Linked DNA regions of Caenorhabditis elegans. The protein of the gene in region 1 interacts with the protein of each later gene in a pairwise test. Each region holds a gene or a part of one and is shown in the gene's direction. Other genes may lie near its edges.

Region 1 (3,756 bases):
TCACATTACCCTTTAAAGGCGCACAAGATTTTGCATTTACCAAAAATCTGTCGCGTCGAGACCCAAAATAACCTCGAAATGCGCTTCCAAGTCTGCAATTATGTTGTACTTAAATTGTGCGCGGGATGGGCGTCAAAAACGGAACACCCATTCACTCTCCCTGGCCACACAAACAAGTTCTATCCTCGGCCATTAACTATCATCTGTTCTTTGTGAATACTAATGCAACTGGATTGTACGAGAAAGAATGAAAAAGAGAGAGAGAAACAGACAAGTTAGTTGGTCATCCTTCTCTTCTTTTTTTCCTCCTCCTCCTCCTCCTCCTCCTTCTCCTCCTTCTTTTTCTACTTCTTTCCGATCGTTTGTACTTTTCATCGCCTCTCACTTCTCCTGAGTATTGCAAGTCTCTTGGTTTTTCTCTATTTTCTTTTCTACTCTCATTTGTTCTCTTTTTTCGTGGTGCCCTCTACTCTTTTTCTCTGCACCAATGTGGTGCACTCTCTCTCTTGCTGTTTCCCGCAATAGTGTGAGTGTGCAAGAAGGGTTTCACCCCCTTTTCTCAGCTTTCCAATTTTGGGTGCCCTGAAGTCGTATTTATCATGCTTATAGCATTTTTTGGCAGTTTTTTCCAACTTGAAAAGTTATTGTTGACTCTAAAATCTAGAAAAGAACGAAATGATGTTTTATGAGACGATCAAACACCTAACAGATTGTTTTTTTTTCCATATTTTTATGTTCATTCTAGTGTTTTCTCTAACGAGTTTAGTGCTTATGTTGCGAAATATTTATTTTGGGTGTTTTTTTTTAATTTCAAAGTATTCAGTTTTCCATTCCATTTGCTTTAAAAAAAACATTCGTCGAAAAATATAAATTGAAGTTCGAGTATCGTAAATGGGCATTTTGCATAAAAAATCAAAAAAAGTCTCAAATTCAGAAATACCGCAAAAGAAATCGAAAAAAATTGCGAAAGAATGAAAAATCCAACTTTTAAAAACCAAAATTTTCCTTTTTGGCTAAATTACATGAATTAGTTCGCTCCAAAAAAATTCGCGATTTTTTTCGTTTTTTTTTGTGTAATTGAGACTATTTTGGATATTTTTTGAAGAAAAAAGCCTATTCACACAAAAAGAGACATATATCCCGAATGTCTTTACTATTAAATGAATCAGCGCTGGCCTAGTTTTCACCCACTCAATATCACACCAATTTCGCAACCAAAGAACTTTGCCCTTTCTCGTCCGTTCACCGTTTGTCTCTCTATATCATCTGTGTTTTTCTATTGTTTAACGCTCTTTTTCTCTGCTGCTTCTCGATGCATAGAACTCAATATGTTTGCAATAAAATTCACTTTGTGCAATTTTCATTCAATGTAGACAGCATCTGTCCATCAAGAAAAATATGAGAAGTAGAGCCGGCAGAGCAAAAAGTGAACTTTTACCTCAAGAAATTCGAAAGTTTTTTGAAAATGAGCAGAATTTCGAGCAAACATCATTTTTTGAACATCCTCTGCCATTCAGTTGTTTTTTCAATGATTTTTCCGAGAAGAAACGTGATATTTCTCCGGTTTTTCGCTTTCTTTCTCTCTCTCTTAATCTTATCAGTTTTCTTCTCATCGGTGTGAAACACAGTACGAACTATGTTCTATGAACGAGAGAGGGCACTCCCCGTCATCGTTATCCGTACTGTTTCGTTGAAATAATTATTAATTTACAGATAGGTTCATCGGGTCACTATACGCACGCCTACTCCACGACTATCTTACTCCCATTTCTCAATCAAATAAACATCATATTATCTTTTAAAAGTGACATTCGGATGTGTTAATTGGCACAGGGACGCAAATGGATTACGCATATCGTGTGTTCAAAAATGTCAAATATTTTTACAATTCAATTAATCCTGCCACACTTTCAGGTTTGTATTCCGTGTCACTAGTTACTTTTTTATAATTTAAATTCTTTCAGGAGCAATCGATGTGGTTGTCGTAGAGCAACCAAATGGAGAATACAAATCAACACCATTCCATGTTCGTTTTGGAAAGTATGGAGTCTTCAGTTACAGTGATAAATATGTGGATATCGCTGTCAATGGTGTAGAAATCGATTTGAAAATGAAGTTGGCTGACAGTGGTGTCGCGTTTTTTGTTGAAGAGGCCGACGATCAAGTACCAGACTACCTTCTGACTTCTCCACTGCCCGAGCAAGAGACCCCACAGACTGCAGGACCTGCGGTGGACAAAGTGTTGGCAGAGAGTGCACGAAAGTTGGAAGAAACGCAGAATGAAAATGAAGATGTCGATATGAATGATATTGCGAAAAGCAGATCGTCAAGTCCAGACGGAGGACAAGGAAATGCGAGAGAGCCGAAACAAGAGTGAGTTGATATTAAATAGAAGTTTTGATTATTATATTAATTAAATTTCAGGCAATCACTGAGTCAAGTTCAAAGAAAGCAGACACTTCCATTCTCGTCATCTGTTTTCAGTGATCGTCGCTACCGATCACTCCCAGATCTTACAGTTCTCGCTGCTGAGACCGAGGTGGAGAGAACAGATATCAAGAAGAGTGACGGAAAGAGGACACGGAAGACTCCACGGCCATTTGTCCACTCTCATTCACAGTGCTCTCCAATGGAAAAGAAACATTTTCACAAGTCAAATGATGAGATTCTACGTAGTTTAAGACGGGAAACACACGATATGGATCGTCGGATTCCACTTCGAAAGAAGAGTCGTGTCACATTTAATCAACAAGCAACTCGTCCAATTGACATTAAAATTCAACAATATAATGATTCGGATTCGGAGTTAGATTCTTCTGTAAATTCATCACCATCCCCATCGTTGGTTGATCAAAGAGAGGCTGATCGAATTGCCGATGGTGCTCTTTCCGATTCGGAAGTTGATCGTCAACGGGATCGCAATGCCACACCAGAACCACACGATGTTACTGACTGGAAATGGGGAGAACTTCCGGAGACAAGAGAACAAAATAAAAGAAAAAAACAAGACGAGGATGCTGAAAAGTCGACATCACGATGGAGTAGCTGGTTCTGGAGATCATCGACATCGACTGCCGATGAAGAGCAGAAGGAAAAGGAGAAATTGGAACAAGAAGAGCAGGGAATTTCTCTCGACGAGCTTCTCAATTCTTCATCGAATCCAGTTGAAATTGAGAAATATCTTGGAAAACCGCCGAGTGTGTAAGTGATTTTAAAATTATTTATTTTGATAGACTCTAGTCATCGCATGTTTTGATATAAAATTTTATTTACATTATTGTTATTAGACGTAGCAATAGTAGTTTCAGAACTTCCATCGACAGTGGGCATGTTTCACGTGGTGTTTCCCAGCCATCGTCTCCAATTTCTAATCATGATGACTACACACCAACTACAACACCTCCAAATGATAAGACACCAACAAGAGAAAGTGTTCGATTTGGAGCTGGAAATGATATTCCAAGTTCGACATCTGCCACCAATGGAGTTCGTTCTCGTGCATCTTCCGATGAAATTTTGTGAGTAATTTTATTTTAGAACTTTTTTAAATTAAACCACGCATGTTTTTTTTTCAATTGCATTTCTTCACGTGGTGTCAGATTGTCCCATCTCTGCACACAAAAATGGCGGAAGAATAAGTTCGGTTTTTGTGACGTCACAGCGCATTGTGAATTTTTTTTTCAATTTAGACTTCGATTTTTGTGTCGACGCTAAAATTGAAACGCAGATCTGACGTCACGAAAATTCCTACATATT
Region 2 (3,756 bases), 1.5 Mb from region 1:
ATTCTCATGATAAGACAGTTCCTTAATATCTCGTAGCAAAAAAATCGACCCATCTCTTTGCCCCTTGCTTCATTTCTGCCGCTTTCTTCGTGCCAGGAAGGTAGGCATTCTCGTGAACCGACGGTCTGAGTTTGAGTGTTTTCCTCTTAAAATGTTCGATTATTATAGGTCGCCAGACATAAATATTATTTGTTAATATTTCATGGTGTCGAAACCACAATCTTTTTTCTTTCTACAGGTGGTTTAATATTCGTTTCCTTTGTAAATTTTCCCATCGGCAGGAATTGGCATAACCTGATTTTTTACAGTAGAAACACATATCTAGAAGATTAAGATCTTCAATTGTCCATCTCGTTTTAAACTGTCATTTCTCCGGTTCTTTTTGGTTTTTGGTGGCCTTTTACCGGTTTTGTTACGTTTTCCCGAAATGATATAAATTTTTGAGCTTGTCACTTAATTTATCAAGCGGCGACCAAAGACAAATACACACCGCAGAAGAAAAGTTTGTAAAGAGAAATGGAAGTTGACTATATGTACATATATAAAATGGAATGAATAGTCGCATCACATTGACGGTGAAAGTACATGCGGTGATGCCTTCGAGGACATACGGACACACTTTCCTTCTCCAATTTCATCGATTAATTTGTATTGTTATATTCTGAATTCCAGGTTTTCAAGACGAACATTGTGAATCATTTTCATCACATTGTTCTGGTACAAATAAAATGTATTTCCAAGTTTTCCCGCACATTTACATTTTTGCTTCACTACGTGTTTAGCACGTTATGCGATAAGAGGAGAAGTGGCTGTAAAATGGTTTCGCACTCCCTTTTTTCTCTCCCACAATCATTGCACGGTTTCTATGACCTTTTCGAACTACATTCCTTCTTTTTTCATTTGGAGGTTTGATACTGATATAGTTTGTAGGGTACCCGCTTATTGTAACTCTAACTGTTATATCCATTGTCATTGATTCATTTATCTGGGGGGTATTCCCTTCTATTTGGCGAAGTCTACATTTCTCGTAAACTGTACAAAATAACGTTTAAAAGTTCTTTGAATACTGAAAATAATAAAACGGTTTGAACAATCCAACTTATTTTCCAATTTTCAAAAACTAGCCGATCATTTTTGTGAAATAAAACTATTTTCTGCTTAGTATCGAATAAAACATCTTAACGGTAAAAATGAGTTTTTTAAAACACTTCTTTTAAACCTTTTTTGGATTTATTTGAATTTTGGCTTTGAAATAGTCTTTATTCCGGAAATTTCATATAATCTCAAGGGCAAATACATTTTGAACCGTGTTCAAAGTTATTTAAAAATGCATTTCGTTTGAATCACTGAGATTTCCAAAAATTCAATGAGTCATAATACATGGAGCAACAAATCTATAAGAATGTCCACTTGCTTTTGTTGTTCTTTTGTTTTCAAACGTTTTGGATATAGGCTGTTATTTTGGCCGACAACAACTTCAGAATGTATTTTATGTTTGAGTTTTAAATGTGTTACTGAAAACAAATAAAATGACAGATTAATATATCTCTTGGTAAAAATTAATTAATTTTGTTACTACTTTCTGTTCCTGAAAAGCCTGAAAAATCAGACCATTTTTTGCAGTGTCTTTGTTAATGATAAAAACCGACATGCACACTGACCATCAAACCGATTATTATGAATTAATAATTTAATCCGACAGTTTCCTGTTTCTGTTCATTTCATCTCACGAATGCTTCAATTTTCATTTTTTTTTTCCGTGTCTCTTAATACGTTTAATTTATTACGAGTTCAAGTAACAACGTTTCAATGAACTCTCATTTAGTTTGAAAATTAAAATATTTAAGTTCTAACATTTTGAAGAGTGAACGATGGTGAGAAACAAAGTGGCACCAGTTGAAGATGGAGCCAATATTCAAAGAAACTTCGAGCCTCCGCCACCATATACAACTCCAACGGATTCACCTGAAGACAAGATTCGATCAAATTCAACTGCAACAACCGCATCTCAACCAGAATTTCAAGGATGTTGGACTATTGTTGTAGTTGCCATTTTATTCATCATCAATCTTCTCAATTATATGGATCGGTATACGATTGCAGGTTAGTTGACAGTAACTATTTTACCTCCTTGGTACAATATTCAAAACACAATTCATGTAACCATGTGACAGTTTTCCGTGCAATAAAATTTAGTAGAGCCTCCAAAACTATAAACAACAAAAGGTAGAAAGATGAAAATGGCCGGAAAACGACATGAGAGAGTATCTTGTTTGAACTTGTCATCATTAGAAGATAAGAATTTACGTAATGGGTGAGTACAATAACTATGGGACAAACATCATTTTTTGATCTAAACGGAGCATTAAAAAATATGTGCATGTCAAATTTGAATTAGTATGTGTGGAACTTTTCCTACTGCAATAATATAACGTTTTCAACAAAAAAAACATTAAAAACATTATTCGTAGAGGAAATTAGCATTTAAAAACCAATAAAATTTTTAGGAGTCCTTAATGATGTACAAACCTACTACAATATTAGTGATGCTTGGGCTGGACTGATTCAAACAACGTTCATGGTGTTCTTCATTATTTTCTCTCCAATTTGCGGTTTCCTAGGAGATCGTTACAATCGAAAATGGATTTTTGTTGTTGGAATTGCGATTTGGGTGTCTGCAGTGTTTGCTTCCACTTTTATTCCATCTAATGTGAGTTTTTGACTCTAATCATACTATTTCTTCAATCAACTTCATTTTCAGCAATTCTGGTTGTTCCTTTTATTCCGCGGAATTGTTGGAATCGGAGAAGCATCTTATGCAATTATCTCCCCAACTGTTATTGCTGATATGTTCACTGGAGTGCTCCGTTCCAGAATGCTTATGGTCTTCTACTTTGCGATTCCCTTTGGATGTGGTCTGGGATTTGTAGTTGGATCTGCTGTGGCTAGTTGGACAGGACATTGGCAATGGGGAGTACGAGTGACTGGAGTTCTCGGAATCGTTTGTCTCTTGCTTATTATCGTGTTTGTTAGAGAACCAGAACGTGGAAAAGCTGAACGTGAAAAGGGAGAAATTGCTGCATCTACAGAAGCAACAAGTTATTTGGATGATATGAAGGATTTGCTTTCAAAGTGAGTTTCTTTCAATTTTATTTAAAAAGCAACCTTTCATATTTCAGTGCAACATATGTGACAAGCAGTCTCGGTTATACTGCAACTGTTTTCATGGTCGGAACTCTCGCTTGGTGGGCTCCAATTACAATTCAATATGCAGATTCTGCTAGAAGGAACGGAACAATTACAGAAGATCAGAAAGCAAACATTAACTTGGTATTCGGTGCACTCACTTGTGTTGGTGGCGTTCTTGGTGTTGCTATTGGTACATTGGTTTCAAATGTAAATATTGTCGTTGAAGATTAGAAAAATATACATCTTTTTTTTAGATGTGGTCTCGTGGAGTTGGTCCTTTTAAGCACATTCAAACAGTTCGTGCAGATGCTCTTGTCTGTGCTATCGGAGCAGCAATTTGCATTCCAACACTCATTCTTGCTATTCAAAACATTGAGAGCAACATGAATTTTGCTTGGGTGTGTAAAATTTGGACTATGAAACATTTCAAATTCGCTTTTTTTTAGGGAATGTTATTTATTTGCATTGTCGCCAGTAGTTTTAACTGGGCTACAAATGTCGATCTGTTACTGGTAAGTTTCACTCGATATTGAAACAAATTCCCAAATAAATGTTTTTTGCAGAGTG

The links. The genes of interacting proteins can lie anywhere in the genome.
Region 2: the proteins of lpin-1 (region 1) and spin-1 interact in a two-hybrid assay, tested with the Caenorhabditis elegans proteins (one large-scale study listed by BioGRID).

Annotation. Positions count from the first base shown.
Region 1 is NC_003283.11:13,652,087-13,655,842, reverse strand, and holds the start of lpin-1 (LNS2/PITP domain-containing protein), read left to right. Parts: upstream 1-1,713; 5' UTR 1,714-1,841; coding exon 1,842-1,914; intron 1,915-1,964; coding exon 1,965-2,373; intron 2,374-2,424; coding exon 2,425-3,201; intron 3,202-3,308; coding exon 3,309-3,518; intron 3,519-3,756.
Region 2 is NC_003283.11:12,113,130-12,116,885, forward strand, and holds the start of spin-1 (Major facilitator superfamily (MFS) profile domain-containing protein), read left to right. Parts: upstream 1-1,863; 5' UTR 1,864-1,871; coding exon 1,872-2,103; intron 2,104-2,245; exon of another isoform or gene 2,246-2,424; intron 2,425-2,507; coding exon 2,508-2,710; intron 2,711-2,761; coding exon 2,762-3,132; intron 3,133-3,179; coding exon 3,180-3,396; intron 3,397-3,443; coding exon 3,444-3,587; intron 3,588-3,635; coding exon 3,636-3,701; intron 3,702-3,752; coding exon 3,753-3,756.